Macaca mulatta: one gene and its partners. The protein of the gene in region 1 interacts with the protein of each later gene in a pairwise test. Links are inferred from orthologs where the notes say so. Each region holds a gene or a part of one and is shown in the gene's direction. Other genes may lie near its edges.

Region 1 (4,037 bases):
GCTAGACAGCAATGAACACCTGCTAAAAACCTTCAGCTACTTTCCCTATCCCAGCCTAGCAGACATTGCCCTTCTCTGCCTACGTTATGGGTTGCAGATGGAGAAAGTCAAGACTTGGTTTATGGCCCAGCGCCTCCGCTGTGGTATTAGCTGGTCATCTGAAGAAATAGAAGAAACTCGAGCCCGAGTAGTCTACCGTCGGGACCAACTCCATTTCAAATCCCTTCTCTCTTTTACTCATCATGCAGGACGGCCCCCAGAGGAGGTGCCTCCTCCTCCAATGCCAGCTCCAGAACAAGTTGGTATTGGAATAGGTCCTCCGTCTCTTAGCAAGCCCACCCAGACGAAAGGATTGAAGGTAGAGCCTGAGGAGTCCTCTCAGATGCCACCACTGCCACAGAGTCACCAGAAATTAAAGGAGTCCCTGATGACACCTGGCAGTGGAGCATTCCCCCACCAATCAGATTTTTGGCAACATCGTCAAAGCAGTGGCTTCTCAAAGGAGCAGGCAGGCAGGGGTCCCAACCAATCACATGGCATAGGAACTGCTTCCTGGAACCACTCCACAACTGTCCCCCCACCACAAGCTCGGGATAAACCCCCACCAATTGCATTAATTGCCAGTAGTTGTAAGGAGGAGTCAGCATCTAGTGTTACTCCCTCTTCTTCCTCTACCTCCTCTTCTTCTTTCCAGGTACTGGCTAATGGAGCTACTGCCACCTCTAAACCCCTCCAGCCATTAGGCTGTATCCCACAGTCAGTGTCACCCAGTGAACAGGCATTACCCCCACATCTGGAACCAGCCTGGCCCCAAGGGCTACGGCATAATTCAGTACCAGGTAGGGTTGGCCCCACAGAGTACCTTTCCCCAGATATGCAACGCCAGCGAAAGACCAAGCGCAAAACCAAAGAGCAGCTGGCTATCCTCAAATCCTTTTTTCTACAGTGCCAATGGGCACGGCGTGAGGATTACCAAAAGTTAGAACAGATCACTGGTTTACCTCGGCCTGAGATCATTCAGTGGTTTGGTGACACACGTTATGCCTTGAAGCATGGGCAACTAAAATGGTTTCGGGACAACGCAGTACCTGGTGCCCCTAGTTTCCAAGACCTAGCAATTCCTACACCACCACCATCAACCCGCTCCTTGAATGAAAGGGCTGAGACATCACCTCTGCCGATCCCTCCACCCCCACCGGATATACAACCCTTGGAGAGGTACTGGGCAGCCCACCAACAGCTACGGGAAACTGATATCCCTCAATTGAGTCAGGCATCAAGGCTTAGCACCCAGCAGGTACTGGATTGGTTTGACTCTCGATTACCTCAGCCAGCTGAGGTGGTAGTTTGTCTAGATGAAGAAGAGGAAGAGGAGGAGGAAGAACTGCTAGAAGGTGATGAGGAAGAAGAGGAGGAGGAGGAAGATGATGATGATGATGATGATGTGATCATACAAGACTGAGTGGGGAGCTGGGGGAGGGGAGGTCTGTTATGAAAAGATGAAACAACTTAGTAACTGTTTAAACAAAGAAACCACATTTTTAAAATTACCTTGTGGCAGAGAACTAAAAAGCTTTGTGTTCTTCAGGGTGGGTGGCAGGGGAATATAGTGAGGGTGGACCAGGGAGAATGACCATAGGGCACTAAGTAAGGCTGGGATTGGATGAGCAGAAATCCAGAGCTCTAACCTTAGTGTAGAGAGTGCTAAGGATCTGGGGAAACCATGGGCTGGCAAACTGCTCTTGCTCACCTCGTGTCTGCTGTTCTTTTCCCTTAGTGTACTATAGAGAGGCCAGACATTGGCTCCACCACTCCAGGAGGATTGGAAAGGAGGAGTAAAGGATTCTGATTTGATTGATGATTCCAGTGCATCCCCAATCCCACCATCTTACCTGGAATATAAGGCTGCCTTGCACCCCGTTTCTGAGCACAAGTCTGTGCATGATGCAACTGACTCTTACTTTTTTTCTTAATAACTGATCATTTCCTAGACAACCAAGATTCTCAGTAAGTCCCAATCTCATCACAAATATTAATATTTCCTTTTCCTCATACCAACTTGACTGTTTCACCTGCTTCATGACTAAATCACAGGTGGCAGAATATTTTCGGGGTTTTTTTTTTTTTTTTTTTTTTTTTTGAGATGGAGTCTTGCTCTGTCACCCAGGCTGGAGTGCAGTGACGCAATCTCAGCTTACTGCAAGCTCTGCCTCCCGGGTTCATGCCATTCTCCTGCCTCAGCCTCCCAAGTAGCTGGCGCCCACCACCATGCCCGGCTAATTTTTTTACATTTTTAGTAGAGATGGGGTTTCACCGTGTTAGCCAGGATGGTCTTGATCTCCTGACCTCGTGATCTGCCCTCCTCAGTCTCCCAAAGTGCTGGGATTACAGGCGTGAGCCACTGTACCCCGCTATTTTCAGTTCTTATGCTGGGACCACTTTGCTTTGTAGTTTTTTCTGTCTTTCCAAAATCCTCACTCTGTTCACTGTTTGTCTCAGGGTAAATCTTCCCCCACCGAGCTTGTGAAAAACTTTAATAATTGGGTAGAGAATAATTTAGAATGGATATTTATTGGAGGTGGTAATTAGGGAAGATGTCGTTTTAAAAAGTAGAACTGTGTTACAAAGGGGTGAAAGAGGGAATAGTTTCCCCTTGTTGAAGGACAGTGGAGGTAGGTTCCAGGTTTGGTTTTACAAACCTGATAACTACCTCCTGTCCAACTTGACAGAGACTAAATTTTCATCTTTTTGCTGTCAATTTGTTTCTGAAAAAGAGACTTTTTCCCTCTCTTTATAGGATCTGTCTTAGGGACAGAGGGACCATCGTCTTTAAGTGAATTAATTATTGATGTTTTAGAATGGTTTTCATCAGTTGGGATCAGCTATATGGCAAATAGGTATCATCAATGAGTTAACCATCTAAAAATAAAAGAGTGGAAGCCCTAGAATGCTAGAACAATAATAAAAAGGCCAAAAATAAAATTGTTTCTCTCTCATCCACTTTGCCACTCCTATGGTTTAGGGATTAATGGAACCAAATCCATTAACATTCTAACTCAGCATACTTTTAATTTATTGTTTTGAAGGGCAGGACTTATTGAGGTAAATTAAAAGAAGAATAAAAACTTTAAAAGGAAGTAGTTCAGCATCTGTCACCAGCCAGGTTGTTTCTCAGCCATCAAATGATAATGACTGAAATTTCTGAGGCTTCAGGAGTAACAGAGATACAACAATCTTGGAGGTAACTCCATTTGCTACAGGACAGGCTCTTGCCTAAAAGAGAAGGTGTCTAGAAATGCCTTTAAAATAAATTCAGAGTACCAGAAAGGGTATAGGGCTCCTAATTCAGATACAAGGTCATTCCCAAGAGCTAATTTATTTCTGGCAGATGCCTGCTATTTTCTGTTTTCCCAGTATTTTTGCTTAAGGCCAACTTGTGAGTGGCTAACCTATTTAATTCCTCATTTCTGCCTTTTAGTACCCAAAGTAGAATACATGTTTGATCTCAGTGGTAGTGTTGTTTGCCCATTCCACCATTCTAGAACTTGTAATAGTGATAGAATTGTAGCAATAAAAGGGTGTCGTCTTAATTTTACTATCTATATACTAAACTGAAAATCAGTGTCTCCAACAGTTGTTTTCAATAGAAAGGAAAATTAGCATTTAATAGTAACTAAGCATAGAGGAAACAATAGGCAAATAGAAAATGTATAATAAGGACAAAGAACAGAGATGTTACTTGTTAACATTGGCAATGTGACAGTATATCCATAGCTAAAAATGAAATCCAGAAATGAAACAGTGATGAGTATATGATCCATCACAATCCCCATTCCCAACTCCCAACCAAGCATGATGCCAATAATTATTTTTATGACCTTTGTTTCAAATTGTAGGAAATGAGGGGAGCTACCAAGGTCTTCTGGAAGAGCTATAAACATCTTCCTGAAGCACTAGCCTTTTGTAAGACCTGACCACTGTCCTGGGAGGTGATAAGGGTGAATAGGGTAAAGATGGAGGGAGCATAAGGTATAGAG
Region 2 (4,896 bases), on another chromosome or scaffold:
CAGGCCTCTGTGTTTCCTGTGGTATTTTCTTCTAGGTTGGAGTGTCTTTGCATAATCACATCTTATTCTCTTTTAACAGTTATCAACTCTTGGCTAGATCCCCTTATATAATAAAGAGTATAGTTTATTCTCAGTAGTTTAGCCATCCTCATTATCAACAAATAGAACTAACTGTTGAGATGCTCATACTAATACGCAGAATAGCTTGTCCTTTGTTATTTAGAAATTGTTTACATTAAGTTTATATTCTCTTTTAATTTGTTAAAGATATAATTCTTTGACTGAGATAGGAATTTCTCATTTATTTCTTCTTATTTATTTATTTATTTATTTCAGAGATGAGATCTCACTGTGTTGCCCAGGATGATTTCAAACTCCTGGCCTCAACCAGTCCTATCTCAGCCTCCGCAAATGCTGGGATTACAGGTGTGAGCTACTACACTCAGCCATTTCTTGTAGTATTAGATCTATATAATAAAAGGATGTTTTTCTGTGATCCCTTAACATTTTCTACACTCATCTGCATGTTCAAAGCATATTTGTTTACTGTTGCCTAGTTTTCCATGTCAGTCATTCATTTATCCAATACATATTAATTATCAGTCACTATTCTCATTACTAAGGGTACTTGAGTGAACAGAGCAGACAAAATCCCCACCCTTAAGAAGCTTATATTATTTTCAAGTTGTTGCAACTTTAGGTGTTTTTTAAAAAATAAAAATTCCCAGCTGATAAAACTAACTTATTTGACAGCTACCTGCCTCACCAATATAACCAAGTTATAGCCAGAACTCAGAAATAACATTTTTGAGCCTCACCAATATAACCAAGTTATAGCCAGAATTCAGAAATAACATTTTTGAGCATTTATTTTGTGTCTGGTAATGTGCCAACCACTTTACATTTATTTTAGCTCATTTAATGCCTACAACAACTAGAAGGAGATACTATTAGGATCCCTATTTTACAGACGAAAAGAGTGAAGATCAGAGAGATTAGTTAAGCAGAGGGTACAAGATTAGGTTCCACTTGACTCTTAACAACCATTTCATATTCCAGGTGATGCTTTACAGACATCTGATGAATGGATGAATGAATGAAAGCATGGGAATTTTTTTGGGAATTCCCATTCAGCTTGGCATAAATACTAACTCGTTAGACTACCCTAGAAAAATCTAGACTTTTTGTGGGAAGAAAAGAGTGGGAAGGGTGGTAGGGAATTATTTTTTCGAGTGAGTTGAGGCAGATGATCTTACAGATGATTGGGTTCTACTCAGCATGGTTGCCTTATCTGGTGAGAGATGAGAATTGGGCAGACACCAGTTCTGTTTGCCCTGGGCCCTCAAACTGGGTAGCCTCTGAGATTCAAGTTCATCAGCAGAGTGTTGGAGGACAGTTCCTGCAGAGCCCCAGGAATCAGAGGAGACTTGGAGGCCGGAGGAACCGGCTATCCTAAAGGTGATTTTAAACCGGGGCAGCCAGAGCCCAAAGAAGGGCGAAACCAGGACTAACTGCCCCGTAGCATGAGAGGCAGAGCCTGTAAAATTACATAGGATTTGTAAAGGTGGAAGGCACTCTTGCGCGGGGCAAAGCTTCGCAAGGTCGTGGTAAGGGAAATGATTCACTCTTCTTCCCTATTCCCTCGCAGCATTGTCCCCACAAACCCCGTCCCTTTCCCCATTTCCATTTCCGGACTCTTCTCCTGCCCGCAGGGCATACGCACGCGCAAAGAGATTACCTACGGGCCGCCAGAGACCAGGAAGCATCGATCTGCTCTGCGCTCGGCTTGTAGACTTGTGGGCGCTCGATTGAGGAGCGTGGCAACGTTACTTCCGGTGCCTGGCTCCGTTTCCTGCTTTTGGTTCTTACGGGAGACTGCGTAGGCCTTAGGTGGGTTCGTGCACCTTTTACCTCGCTGTTTCGGTTTTCCTGGCTCCTCGGCCCTTCTCTCCCCTGTTGCAGCTGGGAGCGGACGAAGCGCGAAGCTGGGGTGGGGACGCGTTTGGCCCGGATTTGGATCTCGGAGTACCCGAGTAGGCTGGGGGCGAGGAAGAGATGGGAGACTGACTCAGGGGCCGGGCATCGCGTGGCAGCTCCCTCGGACTTCGTTAGGGGGCCTCGGGCGAAGGTGCTTGTGTCTGGAGAGGCGGGAGGCTTGCGCTTACGAAGTAAAGGATAATGTCCGTCTGCTTGTGCGAGGCGCTGACAGTTCACTGCGCTTTCAGGTGTCTTCCAGCGGTTTCCTTTTGGTAGTGGCGGGTAATTCAGGGTGCCCCTGTAACAGTCCAGCCCACGATCAAACCTCGCATGAAACCCCGCAAGAGCCTCCCCTTTGTCCCCCTACCTTCAGTTTGACCTCTGCCTCAGTCACTTCCCTTTCGTCGTCTCCTTTGTGACCCTTGCCGCTTCTCCAGATTTCGATTTAGGGGGTCCCAAGGCTTGGAGAAGCGTTATGTTTTACCTGTTACCTGCACAAGTGCAGCCCCTGCTTGTAGGCTCTTCCCTTGTCAATCATCCAATGCTATTCACGTACAGTGGATGCTCCGTAAATATTTGTGAGATAAAGAAATATGTGGGGCACACAAGGAAATCAAGCAGCTTCACAGTTTGCAAGTAAAAACCACGTTAAAAAAATGCAATAGTGTGGTGGACGAGGAAGAGAAGTGTAGAGGAGAAAGCAAGGGCTGAATTTCCAGGCTTGATGCTTATTAGCTGTGTGACCTTAGGCACGTTCCTTAACTGGTAATAGCTGTTAATAATAGCTACTTTAAGTGCTTACCGTTGATGCAAAACTGTGCTAGAACTCATTTAGTCTTCTGAGTTCGGTTGGGTAGGTTCTGTTACCATTCTCATTTTACTGATGAGGACCTGACAGATTAAGGAACTTCCCTCAGGCAAACAGCTAATAAGAAGCATAAATAGGATTTGAATTCACATATGGTTGGTACTAGAATCTGAGTTTAACGGTCATGCCACACTGTTGTCATTGAGCTCCCTTCTTTCAAGTCGGTTAGAGGTAACCTTGGAGTCCAGACAGCTTGGTGATACTGTATACAAATTAAGTAATAGGTATGGAAGGACTTTGTAAGTGCACCCAAGAAGTAGTTGGCAAACTCCATTAATGTCTAACCTTATGATTTTCACTGGATGTACATTTGCTACTTGGTCATTTTTCTTCAAATCTACATTTTAAATTATTGAGGAGGTGGAAAGAAAATATCACTTGTCATAAGTGAAAAGTAAGTGTGAAAATAAATGTGTTGAATTAAATGATGTTACTAAAATCTGGCTAGGTATTGGTGCTCCAAGTTTTGAGCATGAGAAACTCTTCTCCTTTTGTATGAAAAGGAGGGCTAGTAGGTGCTGGAGGTACACTAAAGGCTTCAGCCAAACTGACATCATCTAACAATTGGGATTGAAAGAGAAGTGAAAGGTTAATAATTCGTGTGTTGTGTCCTTATGCCACAGTCCAGTATAATTTACTCCTTCCTTTTTATAACAGATTTTTTACTGTCTCCTTCTGAAGAATTTAACACAAACATGGATATCAGACCAAATCATACAATTTATATCAACAATATGAATGACAAAATTAAAAAGGAAGGTAAGTGCTTTTAAAAATACTTGTTCACTACTAAAATGTGTTTATTTACTACTGTCTTAAAAATTGTATTGCCTCAAAACCTCTTACCTCGTCGTCTTAGTGCCTGAAATAATGGTTTATTCCATTACCTATAGGGATTTGAAGACTTTTAAAAAACAAAAATAGGTAGGAATTGACAGTGTGTACAGTCTGTTTCTACTCATAGATATAATGGTTTCATCTGACTTATAAAATTACATATAGCCAATGGGAATAGTATATGTTTTTATAAACATTAAATATATATAACTATAAATAAGTGAATGGTGGGGAGGCAACTCAATGCAGTATCATTTTATGAAGACTTTTGTCATTATCTTATTACCAATGACTTGTTTCTTTTCTAATTTGGACAGAATTGAAGAGATCCCTGTATGCCCTGTTTTCTCAATTCGGTCATGTGGTGGACATTGTGGCTTTAAAGACCATGAAGATGAGGGGGCAGGCCTTTGTCATATTTAAGGAACTGGGCTCATCCACGAATGCTTTGAGACAGTTACAAGGATTTCCATTTTATGGTAAACCAATGGTAAGCCAATTCTATTATTTCACTTTAATCAAGAAATTAATGATATTGATGGTACAGTAGATTTGTAAATATGCTTGAAACTGTGGCTGTTGCTTTCTGCTTTTAATTACGTGTGTTTGGGTTTATGTGTTTTTATAGAAAAACAATAGCAGTAGAGTTTAATTTATGACGGTTAAGATGGCTGAAAACAAAATACATTGAGATGTAGAATATTTAAAAAAATAATGGCAGTCTAGGCAATAGTCTTATCTCAAAAAGTTAGAAATTAATAATAACCTGGAAGACTTGAAAAGAAACCTGTTTGTAAACTTGTAAAACATTACAAAAGTCAGAAGCTAAAGGGGAAATTCAGTCTGAAGTTTTAGAAAATGCTATAGTGAAATACTATATGTCAGAAGCTACACAGTCTAGATGAAACAGTGATCTAAAGAAAAATGATAGGTTCAAACTCATAGGTTTTAGGAATAACAATGGAAATGAAATTGTTTGGAGAGTTTTAAACTCAGGAATGACATAATGAGATTCACATCTAGCTGCTGGATGAAGGTCGCATTGTGGGAGGGACAGAAAGGAAGTGGGAAACTCAGGAGGCCCTTGATGTAAATCAGAGATGTAGAGGATTAGATAAGGGTGACCACAGAGTGTGAAGCAAGGGATTCTCTATGTCTGAGGGAATATACCGTACCTTGGGTGTGGATTCCAAACTGCTTTTTTTCTGCGATTA
Region 3 (4,924 bases), on another chromosome or scaffold:
AGGAATGACCCTTAACCAGATGAAAGCTCAGCACAAAAATAACTGGCTATTTTCTCAAAATTGCCAGCTAGGTAGAGTGATTCCTAAATGATACTTCTTGTCAGCAAGAAAGATGATCTGAAGAATGAACAAAAATAGCCTCTGTTTAACAGCTGTGATATCTATAATTTATAAGCTGTGATCATCTCTCATCAGATTGTCTTGATGTTTGGATGAGAATGAATGTTTGAAATTTCTATATTTAGTACTTCTCAGAAAACAAAATTTTGTTGTGTCCTATTCTTTTTTATCAATAATTTCAATTTACATATAAACAGTGTTCAAGAGACTTCATGTTTGAGGAATGTGACCTTGAAACTCTACTGGCATGCAGTGCTATAAATGTCTGACTAATCCTTAATTACTTATCCCCAAACAGCAATATTTTTTTAGTTTTAAAATTTTTTCTTTGGCAAATAAAAATTGTATATATTTAGTATGTATATGTTTTGAAATACATATTGTGGAATGTCTATGTCAAGCTAATTAACAAACGGATACGAATCTTTGTGTGTGTGTGGTGAGAAGCAAATAAACTTTAATCACTGAAATACGGAACAACATTAAAGAATGGGACAACATGAAGGAAGGAAAGGAGGGAAGGAAGGGCGGCAAAGAAGGAAGGGAGGCAGAGATCATCACTTTATTACCTAATTCTTTGCCAGTCTTTTTTCTTTTTTGGGGGGGGCGTGGCGAGGTCAGTCTTTGAACACGCTACCTAGGCATCATGCTTCTAATTTCCTCTTACCACTCTTTTCACTTCTATATCACATTTATTCTTCCTTTAATATGTGGCCTTGTATTGGCCTCGCCCTTCACAATTCCTCTGTCGCTCACGTATTTTACTTTCTGTGGGCAGAATGTTGTTTGCCTTTCCACGTCTTTCCCATTTCCCTCTTATACAGCTGTATCACATTTCGGTACTATATGTTTATATAAGCGCGTGGTAAAACTACTTATTTATATAAGCATGTGCTAAAATACACTCGAGCAAATACCGTGACTGAGATTTTTTGGAAAACTGTGGGCAAATTAGTTACAACTGAGAGCTCTGGCGGAGAGGGTCTCTTCTATCTACAGGACAAAATAATTGGGAATTACAGAATAAGTAGAGGAGGACAATTCAAGAGCGCACAGAGCTGCGTGCGTTCTCCCTGTGCCGCGACCTGTATCCAAAAGCCTCAGACGAAACTGAGGGGCTTCCTAGAGGCTCTTCTGCCACTGCCCTTTTGACCAGGGCCCTTCCCGCAGTCTCCCCTCTCGCCTCTTCCCTTTTACAGCCCCTCGCTCCCCACACCCGAGGCTCGTCTCTTCTTCCAGTTTGACTTCCACGTCTTTCCATTCCCTAGAAACGGGCCCCAGCCTCACCCCCCATTTTCACCCCCTTCGGTTTTCCTCAGAAAGGGCACCCTGGCTCCCTCGGGACCCTCGCCCACCCCACTTCGCAGCACCTGCCGCATCCGTCCCTCACTCGGACCCGGCGCACCTGGCGCGGCCCCTCCCGCACTCCCGCCCAGCGCCCCGCGTCCCCGGCCCCCGCCGTCGCTGCCTCTGGCTCTGCCGCAGGCGCCTCTCACTCCCGGGAGCCGGCGCCGCGCGCTCCCTCGGCCCCGCCCCGCCCGCCGCTCGCCCGTTGCTTCCCACCTGGGCCCGGCGCGCCCAGCGCCCCCTCCCGGGACCCCGCGCAGCCCCGTGCCCCTCGCGGCTCGGGGTCCGCCCCCCCGCCCGCAGGGCCCGCTGCACTGTGGGTAGGCGGCGGCAGCGGCGGCGGCGCGGAGCGGCAGGCGGCGAAGCGAGGCCGCGCGCGCGGAAGATGGCTGAGAAGCAGAAGCACGACGGGCGGGTGAAGATCGGACACTACGTGCTGGGCGACACGCTGGGCGTCGGCACCTTCGGCAAAGTGAAGAGTTGAGTACGCGCTCCGGACCGCTGTGCGAGCTGCCTGGCTTGCGGGAGGCCGGGTGGAGAGGCGGGAGCCCCGGGCCTCGGGCGGGCGCGGGGCTCGGCGGCAGGTGGAGCGGCCCCGGGCCGCGCGGAGCTGGGGCCCCGGGAGGGTGGCGCGCACCGCCTCGCCTGGCACCGGCGCCCGGTTCCCGCAGGGTCCAGGGAAGGGGGCGGGGGTGTGGGCTGAAGACGGGCGTCCTGGGTTCCAGGTCCCGCGCCCATCCGCCTTTCCGGAGGTTGGAGCAAGGCACTTCTGTCTTCTCTGGACCTCAGTGTCCTCTGCAAAACCGGGAGATTGGACTCTATCCACGAGGCGCCTCCCAGCTCTGAGCCTGTAGGCTCAGGGCGGGGATCATGCACGCTGAGGACTGAGGCGCCGTTTCCTGCCGGGTGCCCTGTTAGGTGCTTTACATGGGATCTCATTGAATCCTACAGTGACTCGGTCAACATGTCCTCACCCTTAAGGTGAGAAAACTAAGACCCCTAGAGATGGAGTAACAAGCCCAAGGTCACACAGAAATGGGCAGTACCAGAGTGAAGTCTAAGATGTCCTCCAATTCTGGTCTTGCTGGGAGGTCCCTGCCATCCCCAGATTCCTTCATGTTCCAGGACTCTCGGTTTTTGGGGGTGACTGTTTGGGGGATGCTCCAGGGGCCAGAGGTTGTGAGTCTTTCTTCCTGGGGTGTTGTTAAACGCTGGAATGCAGCTGGATTGGGTCAGAGGTTAATTAGAACAGAGAGGTCTGAAGGTGGTTGTGTTTGTAAAATGGCTATGGGAAGACTTCTGGGGTAAGGGAGAGAAAAAGTTTCCTTGGTGTTTGGAGGATTGAGGTTGAGGAGGTCAGGACTACTAAGGCATATTCTGCTAAGGTCTGTCTTCATGGAGATAGGATCCCATTTTGGGTGTAGGAAGACAGGCTGCTTTTGAAATGTTATACTTTATTAGAGTTAAGTTAACTAGTAAGAATAGTTGTGTTGAGCTTTCATTTGTTTTCTTTTTTGTTAATTAGTCACATGGGATTTAATTAACCTGCCTTCTCTCCAGAATAGACACAGTTGTTTATTAAAAATACTTTGTTGTAAATCCAGAATTATAAGTGAAACATTGGCTTTTTTTTTTTTTTTTTTTTTCTCTTTGCTGAAGAAATGCTGAGTAGGCAGTCTGGAAATTTTATTCTGAGGTCTCTATTTCCTTGTAAAATTCGTATTTTAACCCCAAGTCAAGGCTGTTGAATGAGTAGAAGAGACTCATTGTTCATTCCTGTGGTAAGAATCAGCTCCTGTTTTCTTGCACGTGTTTAATACCCATTCATTTGTTCAAAAAACTCTGAGCACCTGCAGCGTGGTAGGCACTGTTCTAGGCAATGAGGATACAGCAACGAAAAAACGGATCTTTTCATGGAGCTTTCTAGTAGGGGAAGGCAGACAGTAATCAGAATATGTATGTAAAAGGTATATTTAATTTTACTGAGAAAAATGAAGCAGGGAAAGGAAGATAGTTTTGTGAGGTTGGCAGTTTTCAATAAGGTGGTCAGACAAGGTGGTATTTTTGCAATGACCTAAAAAGTTTGTAAAATTCTTTGCGGTTCTGTGAGGGTTATGAAGTCCTGGGTTATTTTTGAAAGACCTTATAAGTAGAGTGGATAGTTAGAATATGTTTAAGATGAATACAGGACGATCCAGGGATTGTAAGGGATACAGTAAGCCTGTAATGTTACTTGTCATTTAGTATCATTATTAAGGACTATTGTGTTACAACATTATACAGTTGCTCAAGCAAACAGTGCCTTTGACATTTGGACATGTACACTCTCAAAGTTATATAACTTAACCCTATGTCCTTTCAAATTGTGTTAAAAATTTTTGCTGGTCTTTTTAAGTTTGTATACTGTAATCTGAATGTAGAGTAGAATACCCATCAGATCAATCAGTCCATTGTCAAAGACAACTTAAATCTCTTGTGTGTACTTTTGAATTGTTTCCAGGCACTGGCTTCTTGAAATATAAACAGAAAGAACTTTGATTTATGAGAAATCCTTTTCCTGGAGAACCTCTGTCCAATGAACAACCAGTTGAAGGAGTTTTCCTAACACTGTATTAGATCCTCTGAAAAGTGATACTATGGTTTCCTATCCAAGATTATGATCAGTACAATTGTTTAATAAAAATTATAGAAACTGCTACAATCTACAGTTACTCATATAATTCTTCAAGGGACAAGTGAAACAAGTCTTTTTTTTTTTTTTTTTTTTTTTAAACTGTGGCTCATGCCTGTAATCCCAGCACTTTGGGAGGCTGAGGCGGACGGTTCAGTTGAGGTCAGAAATTTGAGACCAACCTGGCCAACATGGCGAAAACCCGTCTCTACTAAAAACACAAAAATTAGCTGAGCGTGGTGGCAGGTACCTGTAATCCCAGCTACTGAGGAGGCCGAGGCAGGAGAATCGCTTGAACCTGGGAGGCAGAGGTTGCAGTGAGCCGAGATTGCGTCACTGCACTCCAGCCTGGGTGACAGAGCAAGACTCCATCTCAAAAAAAAAAAAAAAAAAAAAAAAAGGAAAACAGCTTTATTTAGGTATATTTTATATATGAGATTCATCCGTTCTAAGTGTACAATTCAATGATTTTTACTAATTTTGCCAAATGTTGCAACCATCATTATAGATCAGTTTTAGGACATTTGAGGACACCACAGTAAGATTCCTTATACCCATCACAGTTAATCTCTTTCCTACCCTCAGTCCCAGGAAATCACTAATCTGTTTTCTGCCTGTATAAATTTGCTTTTTCTAGGCACTTCTTCATAAACATGATCATTCAATATGTCATCTTTTGTGTCTAGCTTCTTTAAAAATGCTTTTGAGATTCATGCATGACAGAGCATGTGTCATTAGTTTGTTCCTTTTTATAGTTGAATAATATTCCATTGTGTGGATATACCA
Region 4 (4,741 bases), on another chromosome or scaffold:
ACCTCCCACCCCAATAAACCTGGTCCTCTTTTAGTGTTTCCTCCATTCTTTTTTTTTTTTTTTGAGTCATGGTCTCACTCTGCTGCCCAGGCTGAAGTGCAGTGGCTTAATCATAGCTCACTGTAACTGTCGAACTCCTGGACTCAAGCAATCCTCTGCCTCAGCCTCCTGAATAGCCAGGACTACAGATGTGCACCCACCACACCTGGCTAACTTTTAAAAACTTTTTTTTTTTAATTTTGCAGAAACAGGGTCCCCAATATTGTCCTGGCTGGTATCAAACTCCTGGCACAACTGGCCATACAATTGCTGAAGTCAGAAACCTGCTTGTTTTCTTGTCAGTCTTCTTTTCTTTTCTTTCTTTTGACATGGAGTCTTGCTTTGTCACCCAGGCTGGAGTGCAGTGGCGTGATCTCAGCTCACTGCAACCTCTGCCTCCCGGTTCAAGCGATTCTCCTGCTTCAGCCTCCTGAGTAGCTGGGATTACAGGTGCATGCCACCATGCCCAGCTAATTTTTGTATTTTTAGTAGAGACAGGATTTCACCATGTTGGCCAGGCTGGTCTCAAACTCCTGACCTTGTGATCCACCTGCCTTGGCCTCCCAAAGTGCTGGTATTACAGGTGTGAGCAGCCACGCCCGGCCTCTTGTCAGTCTATTTCTATTCCTCCTCCTCCTTGTAAATCAATCACCAAGTTATGTTCACTGGACCTCCTAAATATATCGAGTTACCCAATTATCTCCACCCCACTGTGACTACCCTAGCAGTTTAGGCTGCTTTCATCAAGTACTCAGGTAATTGCACTACCTCTAACTGGTATCCCTGCCTCCTCTCTTATCCTCTCTGTAATCCAATCTCTACCCTGCAGCCAGGGTAGAGATTATAAGATGTAAATTTAATCATGCCACTCTCCTACTTAAACCTTTCAAAGCTTCCCCATCTGACTACAGGATCAAGTCCAAACTCTCACATGGCTTACACAGTCCTGCCATGATCTGGCTCCTGTTGTTCACTACAGCCTTAACTCTTTATAATATGAACTCTTTTCATTCCTTGAACAGAGTATGCTCTTGTCTCAAGGTCTCCTGGAGCACTGGGCCCTCCTCTTTACCTTGCTGACTTATCCTACAGGTCACAGCTTCACACATTTCTTCTGGGACCACTCCTTCCCAGCCCCTACCCTCTCTGGGTCAGGCACCCTTGTTTTTCACTTCCACACCCCGTGTAAACCCTTCTGTATAATTCATCACATTGTATGGTATCTACAGGCAGTGAACCCCTTGAGTACAGGGTCCGCGCCTGGCTTGTTCTCCGCTGAGTCTCCAGCACCTAGGACAGGGCCTGGCACGAAGTAGGTGCACAGTGAGTAGTGAATGCTGGAGTGAATGGATGCGTGAGGGTTGGTGTCTTTTGGAAAGCAGCGCTCATTGGCTGAGAACGCCTGGGTTCTTGCTGGGCAAGGGTTAGGCGTATATTTGCCAGGGTGTTAAGGAAGGAACGGAGGGATCAAATCCCAACTCCACTTAGCCTCCCCAACACTGCCGTGGCGCCGCGCCTTTTTTCCGGCCCAACTGAACCGGAAGTGGAGGCGCGGGCTTCCCATGATGCCCCGCGGGACCTTTATTCTAACCGCAAGGAGTAAGGGGAGGAGGTCGTGATGGCGGCGCCGGAGGCGGAGGTTCTGTCCCCAGCCTCAGTCCCTGGTAAGGCGTGGGGCCCAGAGTTTGGGAAGCCTTAGGGACCCGTTTCTTCCCTACCTCCGCGCCCTCCATTTATCCCTTGGTCCTCTCCCTAGCCCATCTTCCCTGTCTTCCGGGTGTCCTACAAGGCTCTAGCTGTGACTCCATCGCCGTGGGTCGCACTGGACCCTGCTTGACTACACTTTTGACTCATTTCCCCAGATCAAGTCCCGCTGCTTTCTGAGCGGGGAGCCCTAGTTACTACCTCCGAAATACCCCCACTATCTTTCAGTCAATTAAATCTCCTCAGGCAACAGGGATCAGGAATCTCTCCCTGCCACGGCCCACACTGTAGGCTGCGGAGGGTATGGGCGTATGTCGGAGTGCCTGCTTTCTCAGGGTGGCTGGTTTGGTGGCCACAGGGAATGAGAAGACTGACTTTGGCTTTTAGGTTTTAAATTTTTCTCTCTTGTCCCTCTTTTCATCTACCAGATTTGGAGTGGTATGAGAAGTCAGAAGAAACTCACGCCTCCCAGATAGAACTGCTTGAGACAAGCTCTACCCAGGAACCTCTCAACCCTTCGGAGCCCTTTTGCCCAAGAGACTGCATAGTACCAGTGGTGTTTCCTGGGCCTGTAAGCCAGGAAGGCTGCTGTCAGTTTACTTGTGAACTTCTAAAGCATATCATGTACCAACGCCAGCAACTCCCTCTGCCCTATGAACAGCTTAAGAACTTTTACCGAAAACCTTCTCCCCAGGTAGGCACAGGCTTTGGGAGCAAGTTGGTGGGAAGACTTTGTGGCTCTTAGATGGGAGGCAGGTAGAAAGGGGGTCTAAGAAATCTTCAGAGCCTGAGAGACTAAGCAGCTTCCAGGGCTTCAGTCACTTTCTCCCCATTCTAGTCTTTGGTAGCCTAACCCTTCTGGCTTTTTCTCCTGTTCTTTCTTTCTGAAACTCGTGTTGCATTTGGTCTTAATGAACTGGCTCTTCGCATTTTTTTCTTTTGAGACAGAGTCTCGCTCTGTTGCCCAGGCTGGAGTGCAGTGGTGAGATCTTGGCTCACTGCAATCTCCCCCTCCTGGGTTCAAGGGATTCTCCTGCCTCAGCCTCCTGAGTTGCTAGGATTACAGGCTCCCGCCACCACACCCAGCTAATTTTTGTATTTTATGTTTTGAGACAGAGTCTTGCTCTGTTGCCCAGGCTGGAATGCAATGGCGTGATCTCTGCTCACTGCAACCTCTGCCTCCCAGGTTCAAGCGATTCTTGTGCTTCAGCCTCCCCAGTAGCTAAGAGCACGTGCCACCATGCCCGGTTTATTTTTGTATTTTTGGTACAGATGGAGTTTCACCATGTTGGCCAGGCTAGTCTCGAACTCCTGACCTCAAGTGATCTGCCCGCCTTGGCCTCTCCCAAAATGCTGGGATTACAGGCGTGAAATACTGCGCCCGGCCTGCATGTTTCTTTTTAATAGCATCCTGTTGTTGAATTTCTGTATGAACTTTTTTTTGCTTTGTTGTTTTTTTTTTTTTTGAGATGGAGTCTCACTTTGTCACCCAGGCTGGAGGAGAGTGGCACTATCGCAGATCACTGCAACCTCAGTCTCCCAGGTTCAAGTGATTCTCCTGCCTCAGCCTCCCAAGTAGCTGGGATTACAGGCATGCACCACCACACCTGGCTAATTTTGTTTGTTTGTTTGTTTTTGATAGGGAGTTTCATTCTTGTCACCCAGGCTGGAGTGCAGTGGCGCCATCTCGGCTCACTGCAACCTCTGTCTCCCAGGTTCAGGCGCTTCTCCTGTCTCAGCCTCCTAAGTAGCTGGGATTATAGGCATGCGCCGCCATGTCCAAATAATTTTTGTATTTTTAGTATAGACAGGGTTTCACCATGTTGGCCAGGCTGGTCTCGAACTCCTGACCTCAGGTGATCTGCCTGCCTCAGCCTCCCAAAGTGCTGGGATTACAGGCATGAGCCACCATGCCCAGCCTGTTTGTTTTCTGAGACAGAGTCTCGCTCTGTTGCCCAGGCTGGAGTGCAGTGGAGCGATTTTGGCTCACTGCAACCTCCACCTTCTGGGTTCCAAGCGATTCTCCTGCCTCAGCCTCCCAAGTAGCTGGGATTACAGGTGTGTACCACCACACCCAGTTAAATTTTGTATTTTTAGTGGAGACGGGGTATCGCCATTTTGGCTAAGCTGCTCTCAAACTCTGACCTCAAGTGATCTGCCCATCTTGGCCTCCCAAAGTGCTGGGATTACAGGTGTGAGCCACCACGCCTGGCTTACCCAGCTAATTTTTGTTTTTTTAGTAGAAACGGAGTTTCACCATGTTGGCCAGGCTGGTCCCAAACTCTTGACCTCAGGTGATCCACCTGCCTCAGTCTCCCGAAGTGGTGTTGGGATTACAGGTGTGAGCCACCGCACCAGGCCATGAACTTCTTTTGCCTGAGGATATTATTTAATTTTTGAAGTTTTTCTTTGTTCTTTGCGGCATCTCAGTTTCTTCTAGAATCCATTCTCCATTTGTTTTGTTCTGGTCTTTGACTTTCATGTTGGAGAATTTTATTGTGTCTGGTGAATATTTAAGAACAAATCACTGCAAGCTCTGTGTGCATGCCTGGGCCTTATGAGCTTATAGACTTCACTATAAGGAGATTAGGTGGCAACCTGGTGATCTCTTTGGGGGGATTCCTTAAACATAGTATTGGAAAGTCTTCCCTCTGGATGGGGGAGAAATTTGGCAGATGATCTAAGCATCTTGACACAGATTTTCATTCATTTCCCCTATATTCATTCTTGCCTCTGTGGTGCCTGTATCACCACTTCCTAAACCTTTCTGGGGTTCTGCTGTGTGTATCAGTTTGCATCCCTTGGGAGTCCCTTCTGTCAGCACTTGGTATTCAGCTCTCTTGAACTCTTAATTCTTCACCTTCTTTCTTTTCTTTTTTTTCTTTTTTTTTGAGACAGAGTCTTGCTCTGTCGCCCAGGCTGGAGTACAGTGGCGTAATCTCGGCTTACTGCAAGCTCCGACTCCCGGGTTCATGCTATTCTCCTGCCTCAGCCTCCC

Evidence for each region. The genes of interacting proteins can lie anywhere in the genome.
Region 2: the proteins of HOMEZ (region 1) and SNRPB2 interact in binary tests that used the Homo sapiens proteins (3 or more experiments, as listed by UniProt). The two-hybrid records come from large-scale screens. The link is inferred for Macaca mulatta from reciprocal best matches to the Homo sapiens genes HOMEZ and SNRPB2.
Region 3: the proteins of HOMEZ (region 1) and PRKAA2 interact in binary tests that used the Homo sapiens proteins (3 or more experiments, as listed by UniProt). The two-hybrid records come from large-scale screens. The link is inferred for Macaca mulatta from reciprocal best matches to the Homo sapiens genes HOMEZ and PRKAA2.
Region 4: the proteins of HOMEZ (region 1) and MAD2L1BP interact in binary tests that used the Homo sapiens proteins (3 or more experiments, as listed by UniProt). The two-hybrid records come from large-scale screens. The link is inferred for Macaca mulatta from reciprocal best matches to the Homo sapiens genes HOMEZ and MAD2L1BP.

What each region holds. Positions count from the first base shown.
Region 1 is NC_133412.1:96,372,154-96,376,190, reverse strand, and holds the end of HOMEZ (homeobox and leucine zipper protein Homez), read left to right. Parts: coding exon 1-1,462; 3' UTR 1,463-2,982; downstream 2,983-4,037. UniProt on the Homo sapiens protein: May function as a transcriptional regulator.
Region 2 is NC_133415.1:67,266,088-67,270,983, reverse strand, and holds the start of SNRPB2 (U2 small nuclear ribonucleoprotein B''), read left to right. Parts: upstream 1-1,793; 5' UTR 1,794-1,890; exon of another isoform or gene 1,891-2,225; intron 2,226-3,502; 5' UTR 3,503-3,540; coding exon 3,541-3,604; intron 3,605-3,999; coding exon 4,000-4,172; intron 4,173-4,896. UniProt on the Homo sapiens protein: Involved in pre-mRNA splicing as component of the spliceosome. Associated with sn-RNP U2, where it contributes to the binding of stem loop IV of U2 snRNA.
Region 3 is NC_133406.1:183,976,288-183,981,211, reverse strand, and holds the start of PRKAA2 (5'-AMP-activated protein kinase catalytic subunit alpha-2), read left to right. Parts: upstream 1-1,821; 5' UTR 1,822-1,852; coding exon 1,853-1,946; intron 1,947-4,924. UniProt on the Homo sapiens protein: Catalytic subunit of AMP-activated protein kinase (AMPK), an energy sensor protein kinase that plays a key role in regulating cellular energy metabolism.
Region 4 is NC_133409.1:138,482,947-138,487,687, reverse strand, and holds the start of MAD2L1BP (MAD2L1-binding protein), read left to right. Parts: upstream 1-1,638; 5' UTR 1,639-1,657; coding exon 1,658-1,703; intron 1,704-2,171; coding exon 2,172-2,437; intron 2,438-4,741. UniProt on the Homo sapiens protein: May function to silence the spindle checkpoint and allow mitosis to proceed through anaphase by binding MAD2L1 after it has become dissociated from the MAD2L1-CDC20 complex.